3 linked regions of the Rattus norvegicus genome follow. The protein of the gene in region 2 interacts with the protein of the main gene of each other region in a biochemical or structural test. Links are inferred from orthologs where the notes say so. Each region holds a gene or a part of one and is shown on either strand. Other genes may lie near its edges.

Region 1 (3,500 bases), on a different chromosome or scaffold from region 2:
TGTGTGTGCATGTGTGCGTGCGCGCACACACACACACACACACACACACGTATAGGAAACCTACAGCTATAGGGAACTGGATCTGCAAGACCTGTGTGTTCTTCCCCTTCTATCATCCCAGGGAAGGTAACTCTCTTTGGACCTTGGTTTCCCAGCTGTTGGGAATGCAGGAAGCCACTGTAAGCCAATCTGGCTTGGTCTGGCTGCCACCTGCCCACCTGCCTGATGAGTACTTACAGCCACTGGATATGATTCTTGGACTTCTTGGCAATGAGTTGGATGCCCTCCAGGACATTGGTGATGTCATAGATGCGTCGTTTCTGCACCTTCAGCACCTCGGCTGCCCAGTTCAGATCAACAACACCATCAGCTGAGTGGCTCAGCAGCTCCAAGAAGCGTTTGGTGGTCAGATTTAGTGAGGTCTCATAGCGTGACTTCTCCCCTGGAGATTTCACACCTGGGGGGCAGGGGTTAGGCTAGGCAGGGTTCTTCAAACACTCAGTCTGCCCCCAACAGGCCTGTCTCCCTAGCAATGTGGAGTGGCAAGATGAGGCAGGAGGCAAATGGCTCCTTCCCCTTAGTCAAGCCAAACAGAAAGGCTCTGTGGCTGTTGTCTGCCAACCAAAGCATTCCTCTTGTAGCTGGGCAACTCCCCACCTCCAAGGCCCAAGGAAGTCCTGTTAGGCAGCCATTCCAGCCACCTCCTGGGGCCCCAGAGTGTACAACCATGTCCACGCCCCTCCCCCAGTATGGGACTGAGAAGCTGGAGTCAATGGGCACCTTTCCCTGGGTGGCGGCCTCTGCCCCGGAATGGCCCGCTGCTACCAGCAAGGTACTGATGGTCAGTTTCCAGATCCAGCCTCCGTTTCACCTGTAGCAGAAACACAGGAAGATGCCCCAAAACCAGGACTGACACCACAGAAGACTTAGCTAAGGGCTTGATACCCAAAACCCAGTCTTACTTCTCTGTTATGATGCCTAGGAGTGCGAAGAGAGACAGATCCTGAGGGACATGCATGGGGTTATTTATTACCCTATCACACAAATCAGTCAAGTACAAGGCTGAAAACCTGGGTTCAAATTTTAGGTCCAACATTACGGCTGGTGGTGGTTTTTAAAAAATTTTGTTTAGATTTATTTATTTTATGTATATCATTACACTGTAGTTGTCTCCAGACACACCAGAAGAGGGCATCAGATTCCCATTACAGATGGTTTTGATCCATCATGGGGTTGCTGGGATTTGAACTCAGGACCTCTGGAAGACCAGTCAGTGCTCTTAACCACTGAGCCATCTCACCAGCTTGGTGGCTTTTAAATACATACAAATCATCACTGTAATGCTAGAGGTTAAAATAAAGGCCTCGTGAACGCTACCACACAATCTACCAATTAGTCTCCTTAGTTCCTACAAATACAAGGTCTCACTATTTAGCCCAGGCTGGCACTATGTAGCCAAAGATGACCTTGAATTTCTTTCTTATCTTCCTGCCTCTACCTCCCAAGTACCGGGCTTACAGGCACATGCCACCAGGACTTGGCGCTTTCAAAGATATTTGCTAACTTTCCCCCCTTAAAGCAAGCCGAGAGTGATAAGTGTCCCTTCTGAGACTGGTCACTACAACAGTGATGCTTCTTCTGAAGTGACGGGGAGGGAGACAGCTTTGTGCCATGCTCTCAAGTAGCCCTGGGGATAAGCCCCTATGACAAGAGAGCTGAGACCTCCTCCAGGTGAGGAGGAACAGGGCAAGCTTGCAACCTTAGTCTCACTTCTGACTACAGCCTGGGACCTTTCTGGCGGAACAGGACTCCACCTCAGGCTAGAAGCACTAGCTAAATCTCCCTCAAGTCCCAACCTACAGAGACTATACAACCAGTGCTTCCAGCCACCAAGGGAGGGTCTGGGTCCCCCAGGCAGCTCCCGCCTCTAGCTTTTAGCTCATTTGCGTATCTATAACCATGGCAGCAGCTGGAGCTCACCAACTGCTCTGTGTTCAGTGTACTCTGCTCTTTGAACTGACAACACCACAACCCTCCACTTTACAACCTACATAGAAGACCACAGAGAAGTGGCAGAGCCACAATCCCTACCCAGGTCTTCGAGAAAGACCCTGAGCTGCTAACCTCCATGCCCTCTAACCTAAGTTCTAACTTCACAGTGACGGGAAGGACCCCGAAATCCCACAGATAGCTCAAAACACACTAACCGGACCAGACTTGCTATCCTTCACCAGTCACGGGCCTTTCTCAACTAAACCCTCTCAACCTGACCCACCACCTGTCACGTTCTTTTGCCAAGAATTCTACCCACAGCCATTATCACCCTCCCACCGGACAGGACAGCTGTCCCCATGCTGGTCTCCCTCTACATCACTCTGCCTCAGTAAAGCCTTCCAACAGCACTCCTCACATGAACTGTGGGGATGAGCTTCTCCCAAGCCCTGCTCTAACGCTATTCTATGCCCTCTCCACACACCTGAAGCTGGCTCCTGCACGATTGCTTAAGAGAGCAATTGCTGTCCTCTCTCGGTACTGCCTCAAACCTGGCCTTTTCCTCCATCCAATACAACTTCTACAGATGTGTCTGTTGTCCCTGCCCACTGCCTCCACCGGAGAAAGGTCATTCATTGGACACTGGACCAATAAACCCCTGCATCAGTGTCTGCCACAGGCCTCAGTGTCCGCCAAGACTCCCCACCATCATCCTGCCACCAACTCCTGGAAGCCAAGGAAAAGGACAGCACATGAGAGTGAGACGATGAGAAAAAGGCAGACACTGCCTCTGCTGTCTGTGCGAGAGCAGGGCGGTGACTAAATCCCAAACATTTCCTCAGCAAACTTTTGTCTGACTGTAGGAGGTATGGCAGTCTCCACCTTGGAAGACCTGTAGCCAGGAAGAAATCCAGGTATATGCACCCCAATGGGCTGACACAGCCCCAGATGCCCTTGCCCATCTCCAATGTCATCCTTAAAGTAGGGCTCAGATTGATGGTGTTTCTGTCACTCATCTTTAGACAACACTGAGATCCTAAAAACCACAGGTGAAGATATTGATAACTGAGTGCTTCAAACACCCATCCACAAAGGCTGTATGTAGCCCCTGGAACAGCATGTGGTCTCAGTAACAGACCCAGACAGGTCCAGGCCAGCACAGAATGCTCTCACAGACACACAAGGAAACCACTCTGACAGGCTAATACATATATGGTCCCTTCCTGGACTAAAAGCTCAGGAGCTGCTCCAGTTCAGTTTCTGACAGAGTGTGTTTCAGAAACAGGCGCGCTTCTGTGGGAGAGCCAGGGCAGACTGTTACCTCCTCTGGGCAATGTGAATGACGTACTGTTTGAACATGGATCAGGCACAGGAAAACCTTGAACTCCTGATCCTTATACCTCTACTTCTTAAGTGCTGGAATTATAAAGGTGCCATCACACGTGGCTCACAGCAACTTTTAGAACTATTAAAAACAAAAGTTCTGAAGACTGGGGACTGGCAGAGTA
Region 2 (3,500 bases):
GATGCCTGTTGTGTCAGCTATGCCAACTAGTAAAGAGGCCCAACACATGGCCACACAGCAAGTTGTTTATTCTTTTAAAATACCTGTCTATATCTATATAAATTATAAACTACCGACGTCTAAAAGAACCTAACACTCATATGTTGAAGGTGACATCTACAACTGACATTAGTTGGCCCGACCCGCAGAAAACTGTAACAGGTCAGAGTAAGCCTGCTGGTGTGGCTGTTGAGCTGACCCGTTCACTGCAGGGGAAGAACTACGGGTGGCTCCATGAGGGACACGTGCAGGTACCTGAAACGAGAGCACAGCCAGGTCAGCCCAGGGCCAAGGATGCCAGTTAGGCTACAGAAAACCTCCAGCAGTCTGAAGGGTCAGAAGGAAGCCAGCTAACTATAACTGCCAAACGCTGGCAAACTGTGAATCTAGCTAGATCTTCCTAAATGTCTTTTCTTGACTTAGCGAGCAACCTTGTTTTCCAACCTAATGAAAGATAGAATTTATTCTACTTCTTTTTGTTGTTCTGATTCCACAACAACCCAGAAAGCAAGGAAGGGAGAGTGCCCACTTACTTCGAAGCCTTGTACTTCTCCCTGATTGCTTGCTGCGGTCGATGGGGTATACTGAGGCATGCTTTATGCAGCTCACTCAGGCAAGGCACAATCTCATTTAATGAATAGCCCGTAAATGCAGCAAGTGTTTCTGGCTAATTGAAACGAAAAGGAAATTTTGCTTCACGTAACTTTATAAGAGGTTAGAAATCTGAACATAACTGCTTATGAAGTGAAGGGTGAAGTGAAATTCTTGGTGAGCAAGTATATCCATCCAGAAAGATTCATAACCCCTTCCTTTAGAAACCTTACACTAGAACCAAACAGCCTGGGTTCTAAACTGGCAGGAGTATAGTTGTAACCCTCAGTGTAGAGGCAGACCACTGTTCTTGATCCTATGTGGGTGGGGCTTTCACTGATTCTTAATAATTTACACTAAATATGAGAGATTGCATAGAATAGAGATCCCTAGTCAAAAGACAACCCTTGATAGGAGGAGAAAAGTTCTCCTCTGACCTACATCTCTCTCTGTCTCTCTCTCTCTCTCTCTCTGTCTCTCTCTCTCTCTCTCTCTCTCTGCCTCTCTCTCTCTCATACACACACACAAACACATGTGCATGCAGATAAATACATTTTTTAAAAGAGTTATCTAGTATCATAAGAAATAAAAGTAGATAACTCATTTCTTTTAGCACTCCGAGAAAATTTAGAATAAAATGTAGGGATCTGTTTCTGATCTTTCTGCCTTCTGAGGCAAGAAACAGTCATTACTGAACTTGGAGGGGTTTTGTTGTTGTCGTTGTTACAGAAGCTGAATGCTACTAATGTTTGTTTTATTGAGATGGTCTCCCTCTGAGACCCAGACTGGACTTGGACTAACAATCCTCCTGCCTCCACCTCACAGGCACTTATAATATAGGTGTGCACCACTCCAGCTGTCTAGGATCAACTTTAGCTTGGCATGGCCAATGGCTAAGCCTCAAGGCCCTCTATGCATATTTTGTTGGGCACTGAGGTTCCCAGGCCTTCCTGATTCCGTGCTATTTCTGCTTCCCACAGAGCAAAGCCATGGCATCAAAGCCATGGTGACTGATCTAGAAGACTCAGAAACAAGCTGTGGTCTGCTGCCATGACAACCAGCTATCATGAAAAAAACTTTCCCTCAGAAGGCTTGTGTCCATTCTGAATCTTGAACTCACTGAACAGATTTTGTATGAACTTTGAATGTGTTCTACTTAGGAAGAAGACAGAAACGTACCCAGAAGTGTCTGTTCACAATATAGTTTGCCAGACAGTAAGCTGCTGCTGCTACCAAGGAAGGAAGATACTTCAAGAATGGGTCAGCTTCCAGAAGGCTCAGTTCTGCAACATACTAAGGGCAAGAGAGAAAAATCTCAGTGGAGTAAGAAATTTGAGCAAGGTCCAATTTGACTAAAATTGTCAGTAAACCTGGAATTGCCAAACTCACCAATTGGTTCCTTATTTTCATTCCCTCAGAATCTAATGATGAGCCCCAAACTTAAGCCAGGTATATTTCCTAGTTCCATAGTTGCTCTGACTGTCCTTCGACTGACTAATGTTTGTGTTGTGATGATGTTCCCATACCCTATCTCACCCACACGGCATATGTGATAGGTTACTTCTCTTATCTAGTAGATCAGGCTTTACGGTGGTCAGATAAGGGAGTATTGAGCTCACATCTCAAATAGAAAGAGTCATTAGCCAGGAGGCAAAGAAACAGCCATACTGAAGCTAGCAATGGCTAGGCAAATTGATACAGTTCTCAAGCTCAAGCAATGCCATTGGAGACGTGTCAGGAGAATGCAGGGAAATCTTTGTGGTCATCTTTATTACTCTTTGAATAGCGTGTGTTTCACAGATTTCCCATGGCAAGCTCACTGGCTAGGACAGAGTGCTAATAATTCCAACTAAGTGCCTCTAGATCAAAATGGCTGCAGATTTCGTGCTGCTTTATTTCTTACTGAATTAGAATAAGATTCAAACAAAACCCAGCCACGTTTTACCTTGCTCCCAAGTTAAAAGGCGCTGCTCGCCTGCGGTCTGCATCTCTCAAGGGAGCTTACCGTGCTTAAGAGTCTTTGATAGTCGGGAGCTACGTGACTGGGACCTGCCAGTACCATCAACAGCAATGTCTGGTGAGCAGGCATCGTGTTTTTAAGACAACTGCCTTTCACCTCTACAGAGATGGAAACCCGGGAGGGATGGGCGTGGAAGGTGGTTGGAAAGGTGGCTGTCCCCAGAAGTCCTGTGGCATACCTTGGCCAAATTCTCAGTCCTGATGCACACCCCTTGCCGCCTTAAGTACTGAAGGAGGAACTGGTTGGTGGTTGGAACGGTCAGATCGAATGCCAGGACTTTCAGCAGCAGATGCTCCATCCTCAGTAGCTGTCGCTTTGTGTACGTGTCGTCAGTGATGTAGACAAACTCATCGACATCGGGCGGGTATATCTCTTCGTATTTCCTGGGGGGCGGGTAAGGAATTATCAGGGGGAAAGTTTGGAACGGTCGTCTCTAGCTCCTGTCCTCTCGCATGGCCCTGGAGGCTTATTCACTTTATACTGCCATTGCCACAGAACCATCAGAGAACTGTGTGGGCTATAAACATACTGTGAGCTTTTTCTCAGTCCGCGAGAGTACCGCAAGGGTATGGTATACTAACTGCTGGGAACTGTGACAGGTTGGGGACTTTGAAACACTGACTAGGTCTAAAGGACACATGCTTCAGCTGGATCCCTGTTGGTTGAATAGATATTGGGTCACTTTGTGAGAAGAATGTTAGGATCAAACCAATAACAGAAAAAAAACAATCCCATAGCTTTGGTGGCTTTAGCTGTGCTTTGTTTTGTTTCTGAAGACCATATTAAATTATTCAACTTCATTAGTTAGCAAAGGATACTGAATCACCAAGAGAAAAATAACAATATAATT
Region 3 (3,500 bases), on a different chromosome or scaffold from region 2:
AGTGTCATTTATGCATAAATCTCATTAGCCCCTGTCATGATACTAATATGTTTTCCAGTGTTCAGGAGGGTTGGAATGTCCCTCAGCCTCTGTTCACATGAGTTCTTTGGATATTTGATTGGGGTTATGTGTCTTTAGCTACAAACAACATTAGCACGCTATTTCAACAAAAATCTCCAGTGTGCCCTTGCGTCCGACAGGGAAGTCTTGTGAGCAGCTGGCCCCTGGCGCCCTCTACTGTGAAGGAGGAGGAGAGCAGCGAGGAGGAGGCTGCCGTGGCTACTACTTCTAAGGAACACAAGCAGGAGCCCGTCCCCACTGATCTGGGGGAAGTGCGCACCCCAGAGCCCCTGGAATTCCTCAAGCGTGAATACCAGGAGGAATCCTCCCCAGAAACAAGCCTGCCCTACAAGTGGGTGGTGGAGGCCGCGAACCTCCTCATCCCTGCTGTGGAGTCCAGCCTCTCCGAAGCTCTGGACTTGATCGAGTCGGTATGTTTGTTGGTCCCAGCAGGCACACAGCGAATAGCACTTCCCTTGTGAGCCGGCCCCCTCCACCGCCGCCATCCTCCTAGCATTTATTGAATGATGGGGGCTGCACAGCTCTGAGCAGTCTTTACCCTCCAGCATGGAGTAGGGTGAAAGGGCTTCCCAGAGAGAAAGGCTGAATTGGCGTTGCATAGCCAGATCTCACTGGAGAGAAGCCCCGAAGGGCCAGGAGTAACAAGACGGTTTCGGCTGCTCAGCCAAGGCCGTATACTGTTGTGATTCATGCTCCCTGCACGGCTTTTTCTGAGGAGACAAACACACAACCTGTTTACCCCAGATAAGTGGTGCTAAGGACAGGTGAAAGGAGCAAGTGCACACAGGTCTAGCATGGCAGACTAATAAAATCCTTAGACACACTGGCAGGTCCATGGGTGACAGGAAGACTGCTGCATGACCAGAAGAATGACAGACTCATAAAGGTGCTCTCCCTGGAGCTTCCGGCCCAACACGCATGCAACCCGCAGGGCAGCATCTCCTTTTTTCACCAGCAGTTATTTACAGCTTTAGAATCCTGGGGAGGGGCCTTGTGGCTCTTGTAACTTTCCTCTAGGAGGGACCGTGTCATTTCTGAGAAAATAGCTCAACAATGACTTTGCCTGCGAGCCTGTGGGTGGAGCCACTCCTCTTGGTTGTGACCTCCAGCTTTAGGCTCCGTCAGCCAGAAGTCCTCATGTCTAACTCTTCCAAGGTGAAGATCAGGGAAAGATGCCCAGAGCCTGCTCTCTATGCCCCCCTCCGCATCTTCCCCAGACATTGTTGCAGGATAGCTTCCTACCACCAAGGTAGATGCCTTCAGTCTCCAAGACCTCTGGTCTCTGAGGTCTCTGATCCCAGCTGCCAGCTAGTTTCCACTTAGGAATAAACTGTCCCGGCTCCGGCAAGTCCCCACAGCCACAACCTGCAGCTGAGCTCGATCTACTCAGGCCACATTTCCAGGATCAAAGTGGAACCTTCTGTTTTCAGAAAGCTTTGGGTAAGGAAAGACAGAGGGCATGTGGTTCCTGTTTGTTCTTAAGAGCTTAGCGTGGGTTCCTTGATGTGCGAGTGGGAAAAGGAGCTAGTGAGATGGCCCAGTGGATAGAGGTGCTTATCACCAAGCCTGGCCATCTGAAGTCACCCCCCAGGACCCACGAGGTAGGAGAGACCTAACTCCTTACACCAACGCATGTGTAGTGAGCTGACAAACATAAAGCAGCAAACGCATGTTTTCCCAGCCGGTTGCTATAGGCACTATAAAGCCATGGATGGGCAAGCATCCTGTTCAAGTCCCACTATGGTATGTAGGATGCTGAGGAAATGAATGTAAACAGTAGCGACTAAGTGGATAAGGGAGCAGGTTTGACACCGGTCTGTCTTCTTCCTGTGTTTAAATTAAGTTCTACCGTATTAGGAAGACCTTTAACCTCCCTTTCTGGCAGGACCCCGATGCTTGGTGTGACCTCAGTAAATTTGATCTTCCTGAAGAACCGTCTGCAGAGGGCAGTGTCAACAGTAGCCCAGTGCAACTCCAGACACCGCAGCAGCAGCAACAGCACCAGCAGGCACTGTCATTCCACCAGGCTGCCACACCAGGGCCCAGTGTGACTGAGTATCGCCTTGATGGCCACACTATTTCAGACCTGAGCCGGAGCAGCCGGGGAGAGCTGATCCCCATTTCCCCAAGCACTGAGTTTGGGGGCTCAGGCATTGGCACACCGCCCTCAGTGCTCAAGCGACAGAAGAAACGGCGCGTGGCCCTGTCGCCTGTCACAGAGAACAGTGCCAGCTTGTCCTTCCTGGACTCCTGTAATAGCCTTACCCCGAAGAGCACACCTGTCAAAACCCTTCCCTTCTCTCCTTCCCAGGTGTGTGGGCACCTCTGCCTACCTTGGCTTCCATACATAAACACATTGTGCCCGGTGAGGGCCTGGCGCAGGTACACACTAGATAATCAGTATTCGGTGGTTCTCTCCCTGTGCTCGGTTCTTGGGAACCAGTGGTGAGCAAAACCAGAGCTGGCCCTCCCCTTATGGAGCTAACACTCTGGTCTTCAGATCCAGATGGGTGATCACATAAAAAGGAAGAGGCTATGGGGCTGAAAGGGGGGCTGGCTAAGGTCGTTAAGTCATTCGTGGAAGCAACTGAAGGAAGGACAGCCTTATTTGGGCTTCAGGTCTAGGGTATAGTCCACCAAGGCTAGGAATTCGTGGTAGTCGGAGTTGAAAGCAGCTAGTCATACTACAGCCGGCCAAGAGGCAGAATGATGTCCCATTCGGCTTCCTTTTCCCTTGTCGGTCAGTCTAAGAACCCAGCCTGTGGACGGGCACTTCCCATATTCAGGTGGGTAATCCCACCTCATTTAACTGAACCTAGAAAAATACTTGGCAGACAGGCTGAGGCTTTTTCCCACAGTGACTGTGTAAACCATCAAGTTGATAACTAGGGATCCAGAACTTGTAGGGGTGGAGCTTCCATTGAGAAAGCTGAAAGGCCTCCCTGGATGCTAACAGACAGAAGGGCTGAGTCATGTTTGTTGAAAGAAGTCTTTGCTGGTGCCCTACAGGTTAGGACAAGACCTCAACCTTCCTGAACAAGCAGTCATAGGGAAGGGGGGGGTCTAAGGAGCTGTCCCTCCTCCCTGCAAAGGCCTCATGGACGCTTACAAAGGTCGCCTTGTCACATGTCTTCTCTCTTCCCTGGCAGTTTCTGAACTTCTGGAACAAACAGGATACCCTGGAGTTGGAGAGCCCCTCCCTGACGTCCACTCCGGTGTGCAGCCAAAAGGTGGTAGTCACCACACCCTTGCACAGGGATAAGACGCCCCTGCACCAGAAGTATCCATCGTGAGTCCCACAAGGCCACCTGTCCACCCTGGAGGATGGGGAGGTGCTCTGGTCGGGTGGGGGGTGGCTGCCACACCCCTGCCCTTGTCTAAAGAGCCTGGTCTTAAACATCTTTGTCCCTCACTTGTCT

The links.
Region 1: the proteins of Ccna1 (region 2) and E2f1 form a complex in vitro, tested with the Homo sapiens proteins (2 studies listed by BioGRID). The link is inferred for Rattus norvegicus from reciprocal best matches to the Homo sapiens genes CCNA1 and E2F1.
Region 3: the proteins of Ccna1 (region 2) and Mybl2 form a complex in vitro, tested with the Homo sapiens proteins (2 studies listed by BioGRID, with this or other methods). The link is inferred for Rattus norvegicus from reciprocal best matches to the Homo sapiens genes CCNA1 and MYBL2.

The regions. Positions count from the first base shown.
Region 1 is NC_086021.1:163,529,064-163,532,563, forward strand, and holds part of E2f1 (transcription factor E2F1), read right to left. Parts: intron 872-3,500; coding exon 781-871; intron 458-780; coding exon 238-457; intron 1-237. UniProt on the Homo sapiens protein: Transcription activator that binds DNA cooperatively with DP proteins through the E2 recognition site, 5'-TTTC[CG]CGC-3' found in the promoter region of a number of genes whose products are involved in cell cycle regulation or in DNA replication.
Region 2 is NC_086020.1:141,383,301-141,386,800, forward strand, and holds the end of Ccna1 (cyclin-A1), read right to left. Parts: intron 3,034-3,500; coding exon 2,829-3,033; intron 1,924-2,828; coding exon 1,810-1,923; intron 707-1,809; coding exon 573-706; intron 295-572; coding exon 243-294; coding exon of another isoform or gene 169-242; 3' UTR 53-168; downstream 1-52. UniProt on the Homo sapiens protein: May be involved in the control of the cell cycle at the G1/S (start) and G2/M (mitosis) transitions. May primarily function in the control of the germline meiotic cell cycle and additionally in the control of mitotic cell cycle in some somatic cells.
Region 3 is NC_086021.1:172,141,805-172,145,304, forward strand, and holds part of Mybl2 (myb-related protein B), read left to right. Parts: intron 1-200; coding exon 201-491; intron 492-1,966; coding exon 1,967-2,392; intron 2,393-3,230; coding exon 3,231-3,370; intron 3,371-3,500. UniProt on the Homo sapiens protein: Transcription factor involved in the regulation of cell survival, proliferation, and differentiation. Transactivates the expression of the CLU gene.